Lytechinus pictus: one gene and its partner. The protein of the gene in region 2 purifies or fractionates together with the protein of the main gene of each other region. This does not show direct contact. Links are inferred from orthologs where the notes say so. Each region holds a gene or a part of one and is shown on either strand. Other genes may lie near its edges.

Region 1 (11,214 bases), on a different chromosome or scaffold from region 2:
GTACAAATATATTCTGAGAGAATAAAGTCTTTGACCCACTAAAATATTTGTTTTTCTTTTGTATTTTCACCTGGTTATATTTGATTATTCCATCTCTATCTCTCTCCTTCCACATTACATCTCAATGCGAATGTCTGAATCTCCCTTCCCTCTCATCTACCATACTTTTCTATTATGAACCCCCCCCCCCCCCGCCTTTTAACTCTCCCTCAACCAGACCTCAATCCTCATTCGTAAATCCCCAGCCCTCCTCTCTCCTTCCACCTTACCTTTAATCCCCATTTCTGAATCACCCCAGGACTCCCCCCTCTCTCTCCGACTTTAATATTCTCCCATCCCTGTCTGTAACCTCCCCCCCCCCCCCCCATTCTCTCTCTTGTCCTTTCCTTCCTGTCTCCATCTTCCAACTAAGTCCATACTTTAAAAACCTTGCTAAATCTTTAAACGTGCTGAAATATCAATAACCCAGGCAGTATTTTTATGAAAATCCCATTCAATTTCATGGCAGCCATTTTCCCCCCTTTCAAATAAAACAATGACGGATCCCTCCATTTTATTTCATTTTTTTACAATTGCCAGGCAAGGGACAGATTTGTTCATAAACCCTCATAAAAATCTGATCTGCAATAGAGCACTGAAGTGTGACATCAATTTTGTATTTCAGCATTTTTAAAGACATTTTCATGCAATACCTCCAAAACCCACAAAAATTGGTAGGAATCATTCAATGGGGGCCCCAAGAATTAAATGAACCACACCAATGGTACACTGACTTAATGGGGCAAATTATGTTTTCAAGAGGTCATATCCTCTGGCCCCCATCAACTGATTCCCACTAAATTTGGGCTGTTGGGAGTTTTTCATCATGCCCCGCCCTGGTATGATGTAGAAATGCTGAAGGGTTTTTGTGATGTCATCACTTTGGTACTCTATATATATTCTTCTCTTAGTGTGATTTACCACATGAAAGAGAATTAGTTGACAGATTCAGTCCCGTGAAACCGTTTGGAAGATATACAATGTAATTCAGTTTTAATCAACATGATCAGGTCATAATTTTACATACATGGTGCTATTCATTCATGAATGTTGACATATCCATACCTCAAAGGTACATAGTACAAACACTATTTTGGTTAATGATGATTTAACAGCCAAAACTTGAGATAAGCATCAGGATGCAAGGAGCAATTCACAACGACCATCGGAATTGATGCTAAGAATACAGTTGTCAGTACTACAATGTTCATGTAATTAATATGTATAAAGCACCAGGCCAACAGAATAGTATACAATCACAGAGCCAGTTTGCTTTCTATTTTTTTCAATACTGATAGGATAAGAAATAAACTAGTGGACACCATTTCATGAAAGTTGACAACACTGATTACATTGTCAGCTATGACAATTTCAGTGAAGTTCTTGGTTCCCATTGGCCAAGAATTGCTTGTAAGTGTTTACTATGGTAACTATTGGAGAATGACACATTGTCAGTGCTGACAAGCTTCATGAAACAGAGCCAGGGTAACAGATTACCAAGAAAAATTTAAGTGTTGCTTTACACAGGGGGGCTTGATATAAATCATTACTGATAAAATCTTGTACATGTATCTAAAACAAATTGCCATCTTATGACAGTGATAGTAGTTGAAATACAAGGATACTGTCACCCTTTTAAAAATATTTGTATGACTAGTAACATAATATTGCAGCAGGGTTAGATGGTCATGCTATGCAGTTTCGAAATCTGTGTAAACTGGACTGGGTAGAGTTAAAAGCAAGATAAAGGGGTTGTATTGACGCATTTTCCCATCATTAATCAATATAATATGAGCCTTTATGAGGCAAACGGAAATGAGTAAATTAACATAATATTTGAACTTTCCATTTTAGGCAAATCCAAGACTGCAACATATCAAAATACAAAGACAAATACTTGTAGAAAAGCAACACCATCATCCAACCAATAAATCATCTTCATATTTACACCATACATCATACATGCATCGAATAGGAGTCAACACTGGCTGTGGTCACATGTTATAATTAGATATTGTTCTAAATCTCCATCACTTTTCCTCATTCAGAACTCCTATTATATCGCCTTCCCTGAAGATGAAATATTCCTGTAAAAGAAAGAAAGAAAGAATGAAAATATATTATCATTAATAACATAAAAACATTGCAGTCAATGAAAAAGGGGACCTTCTGAGGATGTTTTATGTCATTCATAATGCTACGATCGGTTGCAAATACATGTGCATGCACGGTTGATGACTGATAAACTAAATAAAAGTTACATTTCAAAAGTTATCTTTATCCACCACTACGTGAACCACAAAATAAAATCATGACATGTGGAAAACATTTATTCCAAATGTTTCAGTACTTTACCTTCTCTTCAAATGAAACCTTGGTTCCTCCAAATTCTGGAAGTAGAACTTTATCACCAACATCTACAGCGACCTTGTGCACAGTACCCGACTGTGTTGGATGAGAAAAAAAAAGGCCAACAGAAGTAATTAAAAATGAGATAAATGTATGCCTCTGTTTGGTTGACAAGTTGCAATTGATATTTGGAGTTGAATGCGATTTTAACACTTTCTGCTACAGGCCCGTGGTCTGGTAAGATGTAAGAAATAATCATATCTTGAAGAAAAGACTAGGCTACTGATAAAATGCCTTGTTCATTTTGCTAATATTGCTGAATGATTTTTCTATCGGAATCAATTGGCAAAGAATACAGAATATTTGCCTGAGCAGTCATACTACGCAATGCAAGGTAATGGTACGATCACTCAGTGGTCTTTTGTTTGATTCTGTTGGATTTCCTACCACAAATTTATTTGAAAATGACAATAGTAGACACTAGTGGTCATGTTCACGTTATTAACAGCGAACTTCAACATAAAAAAAAATGTTGTGATTCCTACTGAAGCATAAAGTAAAGCAATGTACAGCTTTATAAATGAAACAACACCCTTTTCCCTTTCCTGCTGAATACTCACTGAATCTCTAGACCCTGCTCCTACTGCTACAACGGTAGCTTGATTGACCTTCTGCTGAGCCTTCTCTGGGATCATGATACCTCCTTTGGTCTTGGTCTCGGGGACAAGTCGTTCCACAAGGATCCGGTCAAACAGTGGTCTGAATCTCCTGAAAACAGCCTGAGAATATAAGATTTAAAAACAAAATAAAAATCTCAGGAAAAAAAAAAACATTTTGAGAGAAATAACTGATGTACTACACTGGTCAAGAATGTGTTGTAGTGACAAGCACTTTTATATAGTTTATCTATCTGCTATCCATATGGTTACATACGTATTCCCTTTTGGCGAGCCACATAACTCCTGGCTCTAGTCACAGCTCATGGTTCCCTATATAAGCCGAGTCATTCCTGTAGGTTAAGTAGTTGTTTGAGTTTGCTTCTAATGAATCCATAGCTGAAAGGGTGTATCACCTGGCCTGTGAACGTGACATACCCCGGCAGTATACATACTCCAGCTAGGACCCGACAGAGCGCTCTGCAACGGTACGCTTCGCATCAAACATCTTGTGCTTCTGTAGTTAATCTTCAACCAGGCCACCGAAGTACTTTCAGTGATCCATTATTAAGGTTAGCTCAGTAGTTCATGGTATAGTAGATATTATAAGTTAGGCCAGGCTACAACAATGTTTTTCTCCTGTACCATGGCAGTGGAGGTCAAGGAAAAGGGCTTATGGAAAGTGGGCATTGATCGACATAGGTAAAAGGCAAGAAGAGCAATAAAAAAAAGGTAGAAAAATAGCAAAAATAAAATAAAGGTGGGGATAAAAAGTATGAATGGGAAAACAAGTGATAAAATGTTGAGTTGCTCTATATTCTTCTTGAACTTCTCCCCCACTTCCTCACGCTCCCCTTCCAATTGATTTGTTCTTCTTCCCTTTCTCTTTCCCCTCCTCAATTTTAATTCCATGCATGCATGAATTCCTCCTCCTCTTCTCTTAGCTTTCCTCCTCTGAGTTTGATTCTCTTTTTATTAGAACTTTTCATTGTTTTACTCCAGAAGTTAAGCCTGTGTAAGGCCTTCTCCTCATTCAGACTCCTGCATTCTCAACCCCAGTTCCGAGTTCAAACTCAGCTCAGTCATTGAATATTGATCAACATCTGCTCACTTTTTGAAAGCCTAAGACTAAGTACCCCTCCGTCTCTGATCCCCCTCTATTTTTTTTTTAATGATAGTGATAACTGATAGTGATACATTGTCATTGGATCAGGATGTCCTACCAATCATCATCATCACCATCATGACCACCGGTAGTGGCGTGCACTACAAACTAAAGTACTACCAGACATTGCTGCTACACTCAATCAAACGGAATTAACGCAGTACCACTATCAAAGACAAAGTTCAAACAAGAATATTAACAATAACACGTTAATGCGCACAGCACACACAGAATTTAATGCCAGGGACTGCATGATCAAGCCAAGTCGAATTTCACATGATCTAGAACAACTAATATTTGAATGTATCAATATATTGTACATCTGAACGAAACATTCATATCGTATAAATTTTCTTACCATTTTATTTGAGGTTTATTTCCCTAAGATACGTTTAATTTTGACTATCCGGCAGTCTCGATCTCGACCCTTGTTGCACAGCACAGGTCCGCTCGGCTAATCACACGTGTTTAGCAAAAACAATGCTGCCGCGCGCGTACGCGTACGCATTGACGACCCCTCCCCCTTTCTTAAAAACCTCTCTAAAATTCCCCTTTCATAAATAAACTCATCTCATACATCGTCTATGAGACAGAGAAAAGGGACAATAATAATCGTCGTTCACATTTAATACACACAAATGGATTAATTTATCTACTTTGCAAGAACATAAAACATTGCATCACATCAGGGTCAGCGGCAGGGTCCCCGAACGTTCTAGAAACTTGATGATCGATCTCCTTTAGACTTTCTTGACAGCCGTTTGAAGTCAAGATAGTGTCGAGGGGCGTCAATGGGGGCATGGAATCCCGGCATGGAATATATGAATACAATCGAAATCATACAACTAAATATAGAATGGCATAAACATAAAATAATAGACGTAGTGTATAAAAGAAAACTGTTCGAAAAAAAAAAATGAATAGTCCTTGCATCATTCCTTATAGGTCCGTTGAGTTATCAGTATGTGGCCGTCTAATTTAAACTCCTGAGGGAAATTTCCTTTATTATGTGTCCCGTTTGTGCCCTGCATGTCACAGGCGTGTAGATGGCTTGGGAGCATTACACGGCCAAAAGGAATCGATCAATACATATAAAAAAATTATAATCATAGACATAAGATAAAGAGGCCGCTAAAAAAACAAAAAACTGACAATTTGAAATTTTAAACTGATTTTGTTTTAAACTGCATGAGACACCTGCATGCATGTTAATTGCCCCGGCTCAATTATTGTCTTTGCTCATTACCGGCTCATTATATACACTATATATACTTATGCATGTATGATTAGCGCAGTTTGATTTCAATTGGTTTTAACTGGAATATAACAATTTCCAGTTGAAACCATGCAATTGAAACCAGTTGGGCAACTGGAAATCCTAACTGGAACCCGTTGGTCAACTGGAACCAGTTGGGTAACTGGAAATGACTTCCAACTGGAAATGATTTCTAACTGGAACCAGTTGGGTTACTGGAAATCCTAACTGGAACAAACCAGTTGGGTAACTGGAAATCCCAACTGGATCCAGTTGGGTAACTGGAGATGACTTCTAATTGGTTTCCAATGGAAATTTTCCAGTTACCCAACTGGTTCCAATTGAAACGAGTTAATTTGCATATTATCTGCCAGTGTGCACAGATGAATGTTTTATGTGATTCATCATCATTTACAATGTACCTATTTAATTCTTTTCCATTTCAGGTACCATACTTGTTTCAGATAAGTGTTTAGAATGCTTAGCAGTGAAAACCATGTTAATAAATGTTTTAGATTATAATTAAAACAGATTATAAGGTCATAAGTACACCACTAACTGGTTACCAAATTAAATCAAATACAAATACATATATTTGAAGATCTTTCATATAAATATATATATATGAAAGTCTATTTTATCAATAATGAACGCCCTTTACATTGGTATTAATAGACATATAACATTGCTTCTTTGTTGGCATGAGCAATAGTTAATGCAAATTCTAATTCATTTGTATCTATAGAAAGTCAACAGGGGCCTAAGCTTTCGATCCTAGCAGAATCTTCGTCGGAGGCAAAATTTGTAACTAATTAAATTCATTCCAACTGGAAGTTCCAATCGGATCCAGTTGGAAACCAATTAGTTTCAACTGGTTCTGGTTGAAACCAGTTGCCTTCAATTGGTTCCAACTGGAACCCCTGATTGAAACCAGTTGCTTCCAATTGGATTCAATTGGTTTTAATAGGGAAATTGGAACCAATTGAAACCAGTTGCCTAATTGGTTTCAACTCAACCAATTGAAACCCATTGCCAACTGGTTCCAGTTGCCCAATTGGTTTTAACTGGAACCAATTGGCAACTGGTTTCATTTGGAATCAGTTGTTCCAATTTCCCTATTGAAACCAGTTGGCCAACTGGTTTCAATTCGTTTTGCTCTAATTGGTTTCAACTGGATTTTGGTCCTGGGTGGGGTGACTTAATTTGTGCTAGCTCTGCATGAATTCACCCTCACTCAAGTTCCACTTCTATGATAGGAAAGGGCGATATAATTTATAGGCCTATGTTGAATATATCAAAATCTATTTTTTTTTTTGAGCAAAAGTCCTATATCCCAGATAGTCCGCTTACAATTAACTTTTAAATGGAAATAACACAGAATTTTAATGAAAAATTGAGATGTCAAGGGCAAGGCCCTACGTAGTGGGCGTGCTGGGGTTATCGCACCCGACCAAAGTGGGCGCAACTGAGTGGCGAGTCTATAAACAAAACACTTTTTTCCTCCTGCTTGTCAAATCATATTTTTCTAATCGAAAGCACCTCTAGTGAAAACCTTTATTTTTTTAGTCTCATTTATTTATTTGTTTTTATTCATTTATTTATTTATTTATTCATTTATTCATTTATTCATTCATTTATTTATTCATTTATTTATTTATTTATTTATTCATTCATTCATTCATTTCTTCATTCAATTTTTTTCTGATCAAATTCACCTTCATCAAGTTCTGGAGTGAAACTTATTTTTACAAATGTTCATTTGCTTGACTGTCAAAATTTTACAAGCCAGCACCCCATCTTAAAAAAAATCCAGGCCCCTGTGGCATGTCTGGCACTAAAGCTTAAAGGTCAAGTCCATCTAAGAAACGTTTTGATTTTAATCAAACAAGCATTATAGGCCTAATACGCTGAAAATTTCATCAAAATCGGATAACTTAATAACAGTTTCGCTTATTTTTCACAAAACAGCTATATCAAGGAGTTATACAGTGATATCTCCTTGGTATATGCACAATCAGTGATATGCAAATTAGAGAGTCGGTGATGTCTATTCTCACTATTTCGTTTGTTTTGTATTGTTTGAATAATACAGTATTTCCATTTTTACCGATTTATATTACTGAACCAAAAAACATAATAACAATATGGTATACCACATGAGCCTCGCGGGGATATAGGCCTAACTTTTTTTCGCAGGACAATGAGGCTAAAATTAGAATATTTCATATAATAAAATACAAATAAATAGTGAGTGGGTGATATATGTCATCAGTCCCCTCATTTGCGTACCGACCAGGAATGTGAATATTGTTTGTGAAACTTAAACGAAACTTATAAATGTCATTTCTATTTCTTATTTTACATCCAAATTTGATGAAATTTTCAGTGTTATGCTTGTAGGGGTTTTCTCCTTTTATTCAAATCAACTTTTTGTTGGGGTGGACTAATTGTCCTTTGAAAAAATGCCGCATGGGAGCATTTCCCCGGGCACATTTCCAGTCACTTAAATAGTCTCCCAGCACATACTCATATTTGACACTTATAATTCAACCAACCATGTCTAGAATAAAGACTAGATGCCAAACTCTAATCTTTGTCTAATGTTGCACAAATTTATGAGTTAAATTATAAAGAGAAACTAAAAAGAATGGAGCAAACTTTAAACTGCTGGCGAACTAGAAACCTTTCTCTAATTGGTAGAATCTGTGTTGTCAAAACTCTTATTTTGCCACAGTTAATCTATCTTTTTTCTGTTCTTTCTGTTAAATTACCCAGAGCCTTTTTTAAAGAATTAAATAAATTATTTTTTAAATTTATTTGGAATGGAGGCAAGGATAGAGTTCAACGTAAGATAATGTGTAATGATTATACTCAGGCTGGACTAAAAATGATTGACCCTTTTTCTTTTGCATGTGCTCAAAAAATGGTCTGGGTAAAACACCTATTGGATGAGAATTTTGATGCTCCATGGAAAAAGATTGAAGTAGCCTTTTTAGAAAAAATTAATCATGATATTCAAATTTTGTGGAAATCTCATGCTCCTGAGAGCATTTTAAACAGTCTTGGTAATATACAATTAGCTGAAGCATTGAGAATGTGGTATTCATTTAGGGAGGAAGCTGCTGTCGAATGTTATGGTAAACATTTTTCAGATTTGAGTGGTTGTCAACTCCTGTGGTATAACAAATTGATTCGTTCAAAATCTAAACAGTATCTTAATTATCCAATGTGGCATGAGAGAAATGTATTAATGTTATCTGACTTATTTAATCCTCCTCTTTTAGGTCACAAACTCTTTGAAGAGCTTGTGTTAGATTTTGGAATCCCCCAAACAGACAGAAGGAAATATAATTATTTTACTTAAGTGCATCCCTGAAGAATGGTTGGTGAGTTTTGACCCTGATATTATTGGTGTTCATGAAACAATTGTACATAAATTGTTGAGTTATAAAAAAGTCCCTAGACATTCATACATTTTATTTAGGGGATCACACACACCTGACAAAAGATACTCTTATTGGGATGAACGTTTACCAATACCAGTATCTATCGATTGGGAAAAGGTACACTACACAATTTTTTTTTGTACCATTGATACTAAATTAAGATCTTTCTATTTTAAGATTTTTCATAAAGCCATAGCATTAAATGATTTTTTGTATAAGATTAAATCTAAGGATTCACCCAATTGTGTTTTCTGTGATAAAAGTGAGGAAACAATTATCCACCTGTTTTGCGAATGTGAAAGGGTAATTCCTATTTGGCAATCCCTTTTAACGAAAATTTCCCAAAATAATGTTCAAATAAATGGTTCTAATTTTGAAAAAATGTTCGGACTCTCAACTGATAAGTTCATTTCATACCTTTTTTTACTTTTGAAGTATTATATTCATACATGTAAATTTAAGAATAATCCTCCAAGTTTTGCTCATTTTAAAACATTTGTTAAAAAACAACAAGACTTGGAATATTTGATAGCTAAGAAAAAAAATAAGTTGCCCGCTCACTTTAAGAAGTGGCGATTCACCTTATAATTTGGTTTTAAAAAATGTCAGTATAGGTTACATGATAACTAACACTGTATATTTTGTATAACAGGTTTAGTGTCCCATTTTTTTATATAATACTGCACTGTATTGGTTATAATTATGGTTGTAGACATCAGATCCCATTTTTTCATGCAACTTGTATCTCAGTCACCTTGATATACTTATTCGTTTAAAAACCTCCATAATTATGTCGTCTTGGATAACCAGTTGTGCTTTTTAATCCTATGAATAGTTGTTTGGAAACCACTTCATATAATCATAGCTTGTATATTTTGTTTTGTCTACTTTATTTACCAAATCACCTATCTTTGTTTAGATAACACTGATATTAAGTCATCGCATTGCCACATTCCTTTTTTTTTGGGGGGGGGGGGTGGGGGAGGATAAGTGGGTAGGTTTTTTTTTTTTTTTAAATTATTATTATGGTTGTTATTTTTTGTGTAACTAAATTGTGTTTATGTGATTTGCAATCACCTATTAATCATTTGTAAATTTTGTGATTTATTTCAATTTGTATAATAAAAACAGAATTATTAAAAAAAAAAGTCTCACTACTTCAGACTCTGCATTAAGCACTAATTGCGCAAACTAATTCTGTACCTGCAGACTATACCTTTTATAGGCATGTCTTTGAATGAATTTAGATAAATGACTAAACAGAGTCTAACATCCCATCGGTTGTGTTCTAATCGATTACATATGACGGTAGAATTCAAGGGTAGCCCTGTAACCTGTATGAATATAAAATTATGAAAAACTTCTTGATTTTAAAGCCATAAATTGCTCCCACTGTCCCATCATTGAATATTGTAGATATCAATAAAAATAAAAAAGCCATAACATCATTTCAAAGCAATCAATTCTACGTTTAATTTACCCAATGAGATGTGTATTTATTTGGTTATGTGGGTGCAGGGCACTCGAAAATGTTTAAATGCCCTTGATTATGCAATATTCGTGCGTGCGAGGCTTTGATGCAGCACGTGCGAACATTCGAGATTACACGTGCGCGTGCAACCAACGTGAGCTGGTTTACCGGCATTTGTCACTGATCTCAGCCGTAACTCCCCCGAAGACCTGCCCTGGACAAACTGGTGGTGTAACTTAACAAAATCTCATCTTCTATTTACATAAGGCGTAAGTAAGATTTTATTTATTAATGTAGCTTTGTTCTTTGAACGCATAGGCACATTTTAGAAGTCAAATTAGAAGTGAAGTGTGCCCCCAACAACATTCTTTTTAAGTTTTGTTTTTAATTTCTGCCGAATTCTGGATGTCTGAACTAACGTTAGTCTGACTCTGATTCTGAATCTGAATGCTCTGTCTTTCTTTTCTATTAATGTTAGCATGGTTAGTACTTATTCCACATTTCTTTTCACAATTTAAATGTCATTTCAACACAAGTTCGATCTTGCAATCTTCTGTTTCTTTCAGTTTCAACCAATATTATTAGTACATATTGTCGATTGTTATCATAGTACAAGTACAAGCATGACTGATGACAAGCATGACAAGGACAACTACAACTTACAAGTACAACTACAAGACAGACAGTTTTTGTTGACCAAAACTAGTAACAAGCTTCGGTCTCTGTAATACTAAAAGGCTTAGGCTAATTGTTGATAAAATAATTTACTTTCCCTACGCAAATTCCGATTTTACTTATATCAGGGGCCGCGGAAGCGGGGGGGCTGGACCGGC
Region 2 (11,622 bases):
TGATGGATGCCGTTGTGGACTGCCAACATATACTTGTATTCTAATGTCCTGTTTTTAGATCTGTTGCATAAACTGTGTTTGATTGCAGTCTTTGTAATCAGTTGCAATCCTAAATGCACCCTTCTGATTGGCTGAAGAAAAGGTCGATTGTGAGCGTGTCGAATTCCATGCAAACGCAAGTTGAAAGGCAGTAGACTTTATTATTCATCCTCCCATAAGTCAAATCAACTATCATTTCAGACTAGAATATGAAAACATTCCTTATTTACATGTCCCAATTCGTAAGTCAAATTTTGCACAATTCGTCCTTCCATAAGTCGCAACACCTCAGTATTAGCGGAATTTCAGACCAGAATATGAAAAACATTACTTATTTGCTTGTACTCTAAACAGAATTTTGTGGTCCCCCCAAAATTTTTTACTGTGGCAGAGTCACCTGCTGGGGACTGTTTCATGAAAGTTGTCAGCACTGACAAGATGTCTTTCTCCGACAGTTACAATAGTGACAGTCAGAGGCCAGAGCTTCTCAGCCAATCACAAGCAAGGATTTCACTGAAATAATCAGCACTGACAATTAAGTCAGTGCTGACAACTTTCATGAAACACCCCCTATGCCCATTCCTATATCATTGTCTGATTCAATCTCATATCAAATGTTGTAGTTCTGCCAACTTGGCCGTCTTGCTCATGAGGTCGGCTGGAAGTACAAGAACATCGTCGAGGCTTTGGAGGAGAAGAGAAAGGCCCGCGCCCATCTGCACTACCAGAAAGAACAGAGGAAAGTGGTAAGTCACTTTTCTCAACCACTTAATCATTTCAGTCTAACTTTTATTGTCGACAAGTGGGATTTAAAGTCGAGGCGTAGAAACAGTGAAGGAAATACATGAGCCTGAAAGGCAATTATGCCCTCCAAATGGCCCCTCAAATTCTGAAAGTAGATTGCTCTGGGATGACCATCATCTTTTGTAGAGACGCCACAAAAAATATTCATGAATATTTTTTAAAATCAATATGGCAGAACAATGAGGTTTGAATTTCACAAATTTCTTGTTGCATAAATGAACTAGCCATCGGAATGAAAGGATTCGCTCCAACAGTGATACTAACATCCCAACTTGAAAAAATAAAATAAAGTAACCCACAAAAAAGAACAATGATTTCTTACCATGCAGAGAAACTTGTTGAAGGATATTGGAATAATCTAATTTTGTGGAAGGTGGGAGGCACTGACCAGCTTGCTAATGATGACTTTTCATTCTACCTACATTGTTTGATAACTACAATGAGAAAAAGCATGAATTCTGATGCACATTGGTCAATATTACCACTGCGGTCCAAGCTGAATTACCACAACAAGTGACTTACCATGCAGAAGTTGTCAACAGCTTGATTTATGTAATTGTTGCATGCCCATCAGAATAGAGACAAGTTTTGTCTTATCTATTCAATTTTTTACACTTGACAACAGCAATAGATTTGTCCCTATGTTGAAATATATGTCTTCATAGCAATTTTCAACACAATACTCGGTTAACATCGATTGAACCTTTTTTTTCAATGTAGCTTTTGCATCACAAAAACAAAACAAGAAAATATTCAATAAATCTTTTTTTAAATGATATTCATACTCAGTGCCATTTTTGGTTGATGCTCTCTATGTGTTTTGTTTGCACTCTCAAAATCTGATCTTTGTCACACTACATGTACAGAGTGGCATGTGAGGGTTCCCATACATGTGGGCAAATCCATTGCGTCTTATCCTCTTGTTAAATGAATTATGATATTAACTTATTTTTCTACTCTGCTTCCCCCCCCCCCCCCGACCCAGGCCCTGCGAAGGAAAGCGGTAAAGAGTGTTGGAGACAAAATCGCCCCCTACCAGAAGATCATTGAAGGCTATGGCTTCCATTGAAACACATCTATCAATGAACTGTTAAGACCATGATCACACCAAGTGTTCATTCTGCAGTGAATAAAGTCACATGCAAAAAAAAGAAGGAAACGAGTGTCAATGTGTCTTTTTGAGTCTGGACGGCCTCAATAAGTTTCTAGTTTGTCTTCTGTTCAATTGTCCCTACCGGACATACAGGTAACTCTCCCAGGTAAATTGCTGATTGCCCTACACCTCATTCTCTTCGTCTTTGCGTCTCCTCTCATCCCACTTGGTCTAATCTTTATTCATCGGCAACCAGTTCGTCTACTTAAAGGACAAATCCACCCCAACAAAAAGTTGATTTGAATGAAAAGAGAAAATGCAACAAGCACAACACTGAAAATTTCATCAAAATCGGATGTAAATTAAGAAAGTTATGACATTTTAAAGTTTCGCTTAATTTCACAGAACAGTTATATGCACATCCTGGCTGGTATGCAAATGAGGAGACTATGAGGTCATCCACTCACTATTTCTTTTGTATTTTATTATGTGAAATATGAAATATTCAAATTTTCTCATTGTCAAGTGATAAAACAATTAATTCCTCCCTGAACATGTGGAATTAGCATGTGGTTCAGTCAAGTTGGTCCTTATTGTCAAATATCTAAAAAATGAAATATTGTATAATTCAAACAAAAAACAAAACAAATAGTGAGTGATGGACATCATCGACTGAGTGACCTACTTATGCTTATCACTGTTTTGTGAGAAATAGTGAAACTTTAAAATGTCATAACTTTCTTATTTTACATCCGATTTTGATGAAATTTTCAGCACTATGCTAGTTTGATTTTCTCTATGCAAGAAAGCATTTTCCTGGGGTGGACTTGACCTTTAACATTTGGTCATATTGCCATTTAACCCATTTACTAGTTTGCCTAATTTCTAGTTAGGTCCTACCCAAATATTGATTTGGTTCAAAACCTCTTAGTCTATGGCCCGTATTCTGAAGTCAGGTTTAATTTAGACCATGGTCTAACTCTGCTAAAATTATGGGAAGCCAAACGTGTCAAAATTCTTATTAAGTTGTATGTTTCTTATGTTCACTGTACAATCATCTATGTATACTTTCTAGACAATTATGAATGATTTGAGAGCCAAATGAACTGAAATATGATATCTCTAATGTTAGTGATTTATGTAAAAATTGGCTATCCATACTTCAACCAAATGAGTGCCTATAAATACCCTTAGGAAGCAAGATTAAATTTAGATAAATCAAATACAGTAACCCTGCATGAGAAAAATTTCATAATATATGAATAATTTTCTGGCTGTTGGTGCAAGATGAAAGGCATGGAATTTTCGTAACATTGTTACATAAAGGAAATATTGGACCAATTTCATTAAGAGTTGCGACTATGATGGTAACTTTGCCATTATCATGGAAACTACCATGGTTGTGATTGGCTGCTGAGCCCTGTTACCATGGTAGTTGCCAAAATGACAAAGTTCTTTGGAGTTGTAACTTGTGAAATTGGACCCAGATGTACGCCACACACAAGATTGGGATGGTATACAGTGGAAAGTAACGGTGGGAATAAATGAACGTATATGTAGAACTAAAATACAATTGTGCAGTAGAGGAAGGGGGAAGGGAGAGCGACTGAAAGAAAGGGGAGAAGAGGGGGAATATTGGAGGAGGGGAAGGGAAAAGGTGAGGGAGGGAGGGAGAGAGAGGATGATACAGAGGGGGGGGGGGGTGAGGGAGAGAGAGGATGAGACAGAGGGGGGGGGGGTGAGGGAGAGAGAGGATGAGACAGAGGGGGGGGGTGAGGGAGAGAGAGGATGAGACAGAGGGGGGGGGGTGAGGGAGAGAGAGGATGAGACAGAGGGGGGGTGGATATAGCGACAGGGCAGCCTGAGAGATATAGGGGAGAGGCAATTAAGGTGAATGAGTGAGGGGATTAAGATGGGGGGGGGTACTGGAAGAGCGCCTGTTCTGAGGGAGAAAGGTTGGGGGGGCTAGAGATCTCAAGAAAATTGTAGGGAAAAAAAGAGGCATCTTCTTGTTGCTAACATGGGGTATAGAAATGTTGCATTATATACTTTTCAAAGCCAAGTTTTACACATCTCATTTGAAGCAGATTGGTGTCCTCATCAATATAACACCAATGTAATGAAAATGGGACTGCATTTCCGAACGGAGGATGACTCTTCATTTTTAGGCCACGCCTCGATTTTAAAAAAAATATATATTTTTTTTTTTTTTGTCCCGTGCATTATATCATAAAATGCACTATATAGCTGTCATATATAAGCCTGGCCGGGGCCTATACTCACCCAATTTTCTATATGGTAGGCCTACATGTCTTTGATCGAGCACGCAACGTTATTCTGCTAATGAGATATGCAAAACTTGATTCTGAAATCCCTCTATATCGGGCTCTATATAGAAGCCTATACCTTCAATTGCAAAATACTTAAGCATATACATCTACCCCCGGACTCTGAAGTTGCAGGAATCATTCTCGGGCCGAGCTCGCCGAGAGCTCATTGGAGGTACTTACACAGATTACTTTACTGACCATAGCCAAATGGGCAGCAAATTATGCCTACGTGCATGTCATTCTGGTAAATTTCTCAATTAAAGGGATGGTCCGGGCTGAAAGTATTTATAGCTTAAAGGGGAATCCAACCCAAATAAAAACTTGTTTTTATAAGGAAAAGAAATATCAGACAAGTTGATAGGTGAAAGTTTGAACAATATTGGACAAACAACAAGAAAGTTATGAATTTTTAAAAGTTGTAAATATTGGTAATCACTATACCCACGGAGACTTCAAATTGGCCGCATATGGGATGTCATAGTGATGTAAGGCAAGGACTACTCTTCCATGTACTCCAATACATATTATGGCTAAAATGTCATTTTTCCCAAAAGTTTTATTTCAAATTATATTTTTCTTTCATGAGGACATAAAACAATATACTACCTGGGTTATATTTAGATTACTGCCACAGGGGAATGGGTACTTAGGAGAAAACCACAAATCCTTGATAATAAAGTACATGGCCTATGGGAAAGTTGTCCTTGCCCCTTGTCATAATTTACTTACCCAGTTGCCAATTTGAAATCTACATAGTACTAGTGATCTCAATTTTAAAGCAGCTATAACATTCTTATTGCTTGTCCGATTTCTTTTAGACTTTCTCCATTCTGTTTAATTTATTTTTCTCCTTCCCAACACAACATTTTATGGCCAAGGCTGGATTCCCCTTTAATAAATAGAGTAGAATTCACTGAGCTAAATGCCGAAAATTTCATCAATTTCGGATAACAAATAAAGTTATTGAATTTTAAATTTTAGCAATATTTTGTGAAAACAGTCGTCATGAATATTCATTAGGGTACCGGTAGGAAGTAATTCCTTAAAAAGCTGTGTGCGCTATGAACGCCTAGCTTAGCCGGGTAATATAGGAGCGCCTTGAGCACCTAACAAGGTGGATATGTGCGCAATTTAAATACCCTATATTATTATGTGGGCTGATGATGTCACATCCCCACTTGTTCTTTTGTATTTATTATATGAAATTAGGTTTATTCAAATTTTTACCTCGAAGAACTAGAAAAATTGGATTTACAACTGATTTAGTGCATAAGATATTTATTGCTGCATCTTATTTCATTATAAGGGAGACATATTATTCACACAAGTATGAAATAATGAAAAAATTATGATTGTATGTGATAACATAGAAAACGGAAAGGGGAGATGTGACATCATCAGTCCCCCACATTCATGACGACTGTTTTCACAAAATATTGCTAAACTTTAAACTTCAATAACTTTATCATTTGTTATACCGAGGTTGTTTTACCTGACTGCTAAGAAAGCATGAATGCCTTTGAGCAAGCAACCAGGGGACCAACGGCTTAAGGTCCTCTCCGAGGGACCTGGTAATGAGGATAAATGCCTTACCAAAGGGCACTAGCGCACCACTTGGGAATCGAACCCTGGTCACCGGACCGAAACCCCGCTCTACCGACTGAGCTATCGCGCCTCCCCTTTATCCGATTTTGATGAAATTTTCGGCATTTTGCTCAGTGAATTCTACTCATTTTCAGCCCGGACGATCCCTTTCCCAACTCCTAATAAAGCAAGCAATTACCAAGCAAACCCAACATAAACTCTTTAATTTACGAATCTCATTTCTTTTCCCTCATCATCTCCCCCTCCCCCTTTTTTGGCTTGTCCTGGAAATTTTGGGGCCCTAATCGATCCCAATTACTAGGCCTACTCGACTTGATATTGACTTCCCACTCCCCCCCCCCCCCCCCGTGGTCGCTGTTGGAATTTTGGGGCCCACCTCCCCCCCCCCCCCCGTTTTTACGCCAGTATTCTAATAATTGAATCCAATTAAAGAATTAGAAAATGAAAACAAAAATAAATGTGAAGTCTCAATGTTACCCTCACCCCCCCCCCCCCCCCCTCTAATTCGGTAGCCGCGCTGCTGCGTATACGTCGCAATAGTCAGCAGCAGGCTCGTTGGTGTATGCCCAATTTTCGCCAATAAATTCTATAGGCACATTCACTGTACTTTTCACAATACGTGTTCTTTTGATACCAGGATCGCAGTCCATATTTAAAAAAGAAGAATTTTTCAAACCCGCTTCAACAGCTAGAGGTTACTATAAATGTTTTGCACACGCCACGCAAAAATAAAGCACAACGAGGTAAAGCCCGGAGCTAGGCCAGTGCTGGCCGGCCTAGCGTAGCTCCTGAGATTCCTACCCAGCTCGGCCCCGGTACACGTGTTTGTACGGCCGTAAACAACTAGTCAAGTGCATCTAGTACCGTGTGCAAAGACCAGACAAAAACTGACTGAGCCTGCTGGACAATCTCGCCAAGTTCTTCGTTTTAAACCGTAAATTAAAAGAAGAATCATGTCTGTACTTGCAGTTTGCACTCTTGCCGGACCTGGAGAAGTAAAGGGGGTCATCAACTTTGAGGCTAAAGAGGTATCTATCGGTCTGTAGTCTCTTAATTTTTGAGGAAAAGAAAACTGATGTCTTGATGATGACTGAGTCAATGACTGGCATGAAAATGACTGGCATTTTGTAATCATGCATGCATTCCATGGCCATGCCCATGGCAGCCACTCAACTTGTGATAGATAGGCCTCACGTTAAATGAAAAATAAATAATCCAAACTGTGCAAATAATGTTGAATGTCGACTCCCATGATGACTTATGACTGTGACTATGATGAGTATGATTATGATATGACTTTATGAGGCATGAAGAAGGCCAGGCATCACCTGGTTGGGGGAGGGGGGGGGGGCATTCATGATTTACTATGATAGTTGATGCAAGTTCTGAGCTTTTCTGTCTGAGAAATGGTGGTAAAACACGTGGTCATTCCTTAAAGCTAGAGAAAAGATATTCACGTCTTGACGTGCGTAAATTTTTTCTTTGCTAACCGAGTGATAGATGTGTGGAACAGTCTCCCAGAAGATGTAGGTACCGGTTCTGCTTGTTCAGTGATTGCATTTAAGAATAGACTGGATACCGATAGGCATTGGGAGAAGATTGCCTATGATTTTGAGTGATTTTCGATTCTCGTGTGTTCTCATGGAATTGTTTTGCTGTCTACGATACCCCTGCCACCCCTCCCTGCCAACATAAGTAGCACACCTAATTTTGTCTGAAGGAGAGCCGCAATAGACTTTCTACTTTGATCGATGAACAGGCTTAGTCCTACAAGTACAACATCGTTGGAGTAAACTAAACGAACAAATTGTATTTTGATTGATTGGGTGTGATGTGTGTCACATTAACCCTAGCTGCAGCTGACTTTCAAAGTCTTCAGTTTTCAGCATTTCATTTCAAGCCCATTTTCACTGAACTATTCCGGGGGGCACTCGAACACAAAAGTGGTAGGTAGACTGCATGTAGACCCACTCATTCAATGTCAATGAACAAGGTTATGATATAACCTAAAGTTATAGACTCTATATGAAATATTGTGTAATTCAAACAATAAAAATCAAAAGAAATAGTGAGTGAGGGACATCATTTACTCTCTTATTTACATGTCACTGAGTTGCGCATATAATAACTTTTGTGAAAAGTAAGCAAAACTTTAATATGTCGTCCATGTAGGTCTTATTTTACATCAAATTTTGATGAAATTTTCATTGGTGTACTTGTTTGAATTTTCTCTATTTATTCAAATCAACAGTTTTCTGGGTTGGACTTATTAAAGTAGATCTAGCATCTATCGGGCTACAGTATCTGCAATGCACCATGCAATCAATGACTTGTGCTGGATCTGGGTATCAGAACGCAAAGGCATGTGATACATATTTGAAACAACATTTCCCAAGGGTCATTAATTAATGCTTTAAAGGAAATGCAAGCGTCAAGCAAATGCCAGCAGGCAGTGAGCAATTGCTTGAGCTTACTAGTAAAAACCTTTTGCTTGCAAGCAATTGCTCATTTTTTATGCATACACAAGTAAAAACCAAGCAAAAGCAATTGCTAGTTTTTATGCATCCAAGCCATTATGATTCTAAAAGAAAAAATTTAAGGAAAATCAGCTTTGACTGAATTTGACTAAACCTTAACCTGTTTATGCACAGGCACCATTAAAGTCAGTTGTAGTAGAATCTAAAAAGGGAAAAATTGAGTTTGAACAAATCCAACAGATAAATAAACAATTGAATGATTATCTTAGATTCACTACAGTGATTATCTCTATTCAACTTGTACCTTGGTTTCAAAGGATAATATAAAGCCTTGTTAATTGTTCAGTTATGTGAATTATACTTCAGTAAATATGCCAGTCTCACCGAAGTGTACATGTACAGTATATATAGCCACTGAATCCTTTTTCAAACGCCGATTCTCTGAAAATTTCAATTATTCAAATCTTAGATACCTTCATTTTATTAGATATTAGGGATTTTTGTGTTCCTCTTCAAAAAGGGTACTTGGAAACACTCGTCTTAAACCTTAGTACTTCGATATCAGAAAGCCACATAAAAAAGATAATGTTCTGAAAATTTCAGCCAATTCCATGCTTTGGATTTGGAATATATTTTGTATTAACCAAAAAAAAAAGGAAAAAAAGCATTTGATCAGGCACCCGATCATGATAAATTTGTATACAGTGTACATGTAAATGAGCAAAATTTAGCTTGGAAAACACATTGTCATTTCATATTATCCTCCACTTCGTAATACATGTAGTTTTAGGGCATACACATATCCATGTAGTAGTAATGACTTCGAATAGTAATACATGTGGATACATTTGGGGGAATTTTACCAACTTTAATAGGTAAAGGCAGACTTTGATGTTGGGGGGAAAAATATGCAGGTACCAGGCATGTATACTACCTTTTTTATCCCCCACCAGTACTGTACCAGTAGTTATGTGTGTACTTCCTTTATCTTTTTATCTATTAAAAAGGAGGGGGAGGGGACCATCAGTAGTACCGGTACCTGCCGATTCCAATTGTTTCAAAGAATTGATTTCAAATTTGCAAATGAAAGTTGAAAGATGTTTTTTGCAATATATCTTGGATATAAGAAAAAAAGCCATCAATGATTGCTATTAAAAAAATAAGAAATGAAAATTCATTCAAGACCGGACTACACAAGTAACGCAACCATTTTAGTTTTGCTTTCATTTTTCATATTAAGGGAACAGTAAATACTTACAATGTATATGGTTCCATGACATTTGCTAAGGCGACAATTGCTTCGCTGCAAATTCTACTCATTAAAGGGATGCTCCAGGCTGCAGATATTTATATCTCAATAAATTCACAGAGCAAAATGCTGAAAATGTCATCAAAATCGAATAACAATGTTATTGAATTTCAAAGATTTGCATTCTTCTGGTGAAACAGTTCTAGGCATGTCTTCATGAATATTTATTAGGTGGGCTGATGATGTCATATCTCTACTTGTTCTTTTGTATTTGATTATACGAAATTAGGCTTATTCAAAATTTTCCTACCAAGAACTAAAACAATTAGATTGACAACTGATTAAGTGCATTAGTTATTTCTTGCTGCAATTTATTTCATAATATTGATAATGGAGACATTAAAAAATTTAATAACATAAAGAAATAGGAAAGTGGGGATGTGACATCATCATTCCACTCAATGAATATTCATGAAGACATGTGTGGAACTGTTTCAGCAGAATAATGCAAATGTTTAAAATAACTTCATTATTTGTTTTAATATCCAATTTGATGAAATTTTCAGTATTTTGCTCTGTGAATTCTACTCTATCTAGCTATAAATATTTTAAGCCTGGAGCATCCCTTTAATGGAATGGCCAACTTCAACCCTGAGTTTAACACTATACCCTATCCTAAACCTAACCATAAACCTACATGTAACATAAAACTATATTTGCAACCCTAACCCTGTATCTTAGACAAAATAAAGCCCGGAGCAATTGTCGCCCGAGCAAATGTTGTGTTATACAAATAATGCATGCAGCCGAGTGCGTTAGTGGAAATGCAGAGCACGCGAGGTTTCTTTAGATAGGAGTCGCACTGTGCACGAGCCGCTTGCGGCGAGTGCCCAGTGTGCTCCATCTGAAGAAACCGAGCTTTCTCTGCATTTACTTTTACGCACGACAGAGCAAGTGCATTATTTGTTTTATAAAATAGCAACACAGAAACAATTTTGAAAAAAGTTACAGTACAGTTTTGTTGGACTTCTACCGCACTGGTTTGCTTGAGCGTGCAATGTCAATTTTCGTTGCACACCTTTTGCATGAACATGGAATTGTAATTTTGGCATTAAAAAAGTAATAGGGTGGGGGAGCTTGTTGAAAGATTCGAAACAAATCAAGTAATAGTTTTGATATATTTACGAGGTGTCTTGCCCATTCTGTTTTAGAATTTTCAAGTTTTACAAGTTGCCCCTTACTTTAAAATTGTCTGATTTATTGCATTTTATCTTCTTTGATCAAACTCGAAATGAAGGCCAAGCTTTCTTCATCCTTAGATGTATTGTGAACCTTTTCGCAACCCTCCTTGGTGTTTGGGAGCTTCCACAAAATTCCACTTAATATTGAATTTGGACTTAAGGCCTAGGGCTTATTGAAGATAATTTGTACATGTACCAATAAGTCAGTTCACAGGATAGCTCACATCAACTTTTCTCGAATGGCCTTTTGCGATTTTTCATTAGGATGAGCACTAACATTTTCAAATGAACAAGTTGCGTATTAAAGCTTTTCAGGCAAAGCATTCAAATTCTAAGAATGAAAGGCATTGTAATTTGTATCTAGACATTACCCTTGCAGCTCATCGGGTGGTGTTCTGATATGCATGGTTTAGTTATTGAAACAGGGTTAACTTAGACCATGCTTTTATGGAGTGCCAGTTGATTATTAAACCTTATTCGCCAATTGAATTTATTCTTATCGAGCTGCAAAAAATTGTAGAAAATGAATCAAGTTGTGAAATGTGAAGAATACACATGTAGGATAATAAAACGAATTATAATGAATCTTATTGAATTATTATAATTGTCACAAATATGGAATACATTGCTATGAAGCCCAGCTTTCCGTGGAAGTGTGGTTTAAAATTCTGGTTTAGGGCTAAAGCCTAGGTTTAAATTTCAGAATACCACCTTTTTAAGAAGAGTCAATATAGTTCGATACGACCTCTTATGGAATTGGATGTGAGATTTAGGGTATAGCCTT

The links. The genes of interacting proteins can lie anywhere in the genome.
Region 1: the proteins of superoxide dismutase [Cu-Zn]-like (region 2) and 10 kDa heat shock protein, mitochondrial-like purify together in Homo sapiens (affinity purification with mass spectrometry; 3 studies listed by BioGRID, with this or other methods). This does not show direct contact. The link is inferred for Lytechinus pictus from reciprocal best matches to the Homo sapiens genes SOD1 and HSPE1.

Annotation. Positions count from the first base shown.
Region 1 is NC_087257.1:28,123,846-28,135,059, forward strand, and holds 10 kDa heat shock protein, mitochondrial-like, read right to left. Parts: upstream 4,874-11,214; 5' UTR 4,571-4,873; coding exon 4,568-4,570; intron 3,168-4,567; coding exon 3,009-3,167; intron 2,485-3,008; coding exon 2,395-2,484; intron 2,127-2,394; coding exon 2,070-2,126; 3' UTR 1,016-2,069; downstream 1-1,015. UniProt on the Homo sapiens protein: Co-chaperonin implicated in mitochondrial protein import and macromolecular assembly. Together with Hsp60, facilitates the correct folding of imported proteins.
Region 2 is NC_087248.1:24,270,588-24,282,209, forward strand, and holds the start of superoxide dismutase [Cu-Zn]-like, read left to right. Parts: upstream 1-6,381; 5' UTR 6,382-6,824; coding exon 6,825-6,899; intron 6,900-11,622. Other genes in the region: large ribosomal subunit protein uL13-like, read left to right, coding at 663-785, 1,829-1,912. UniProt on the Homo sapiens protein: Destroys radicals which are normally produced within the cells and which are toxic to biological systems.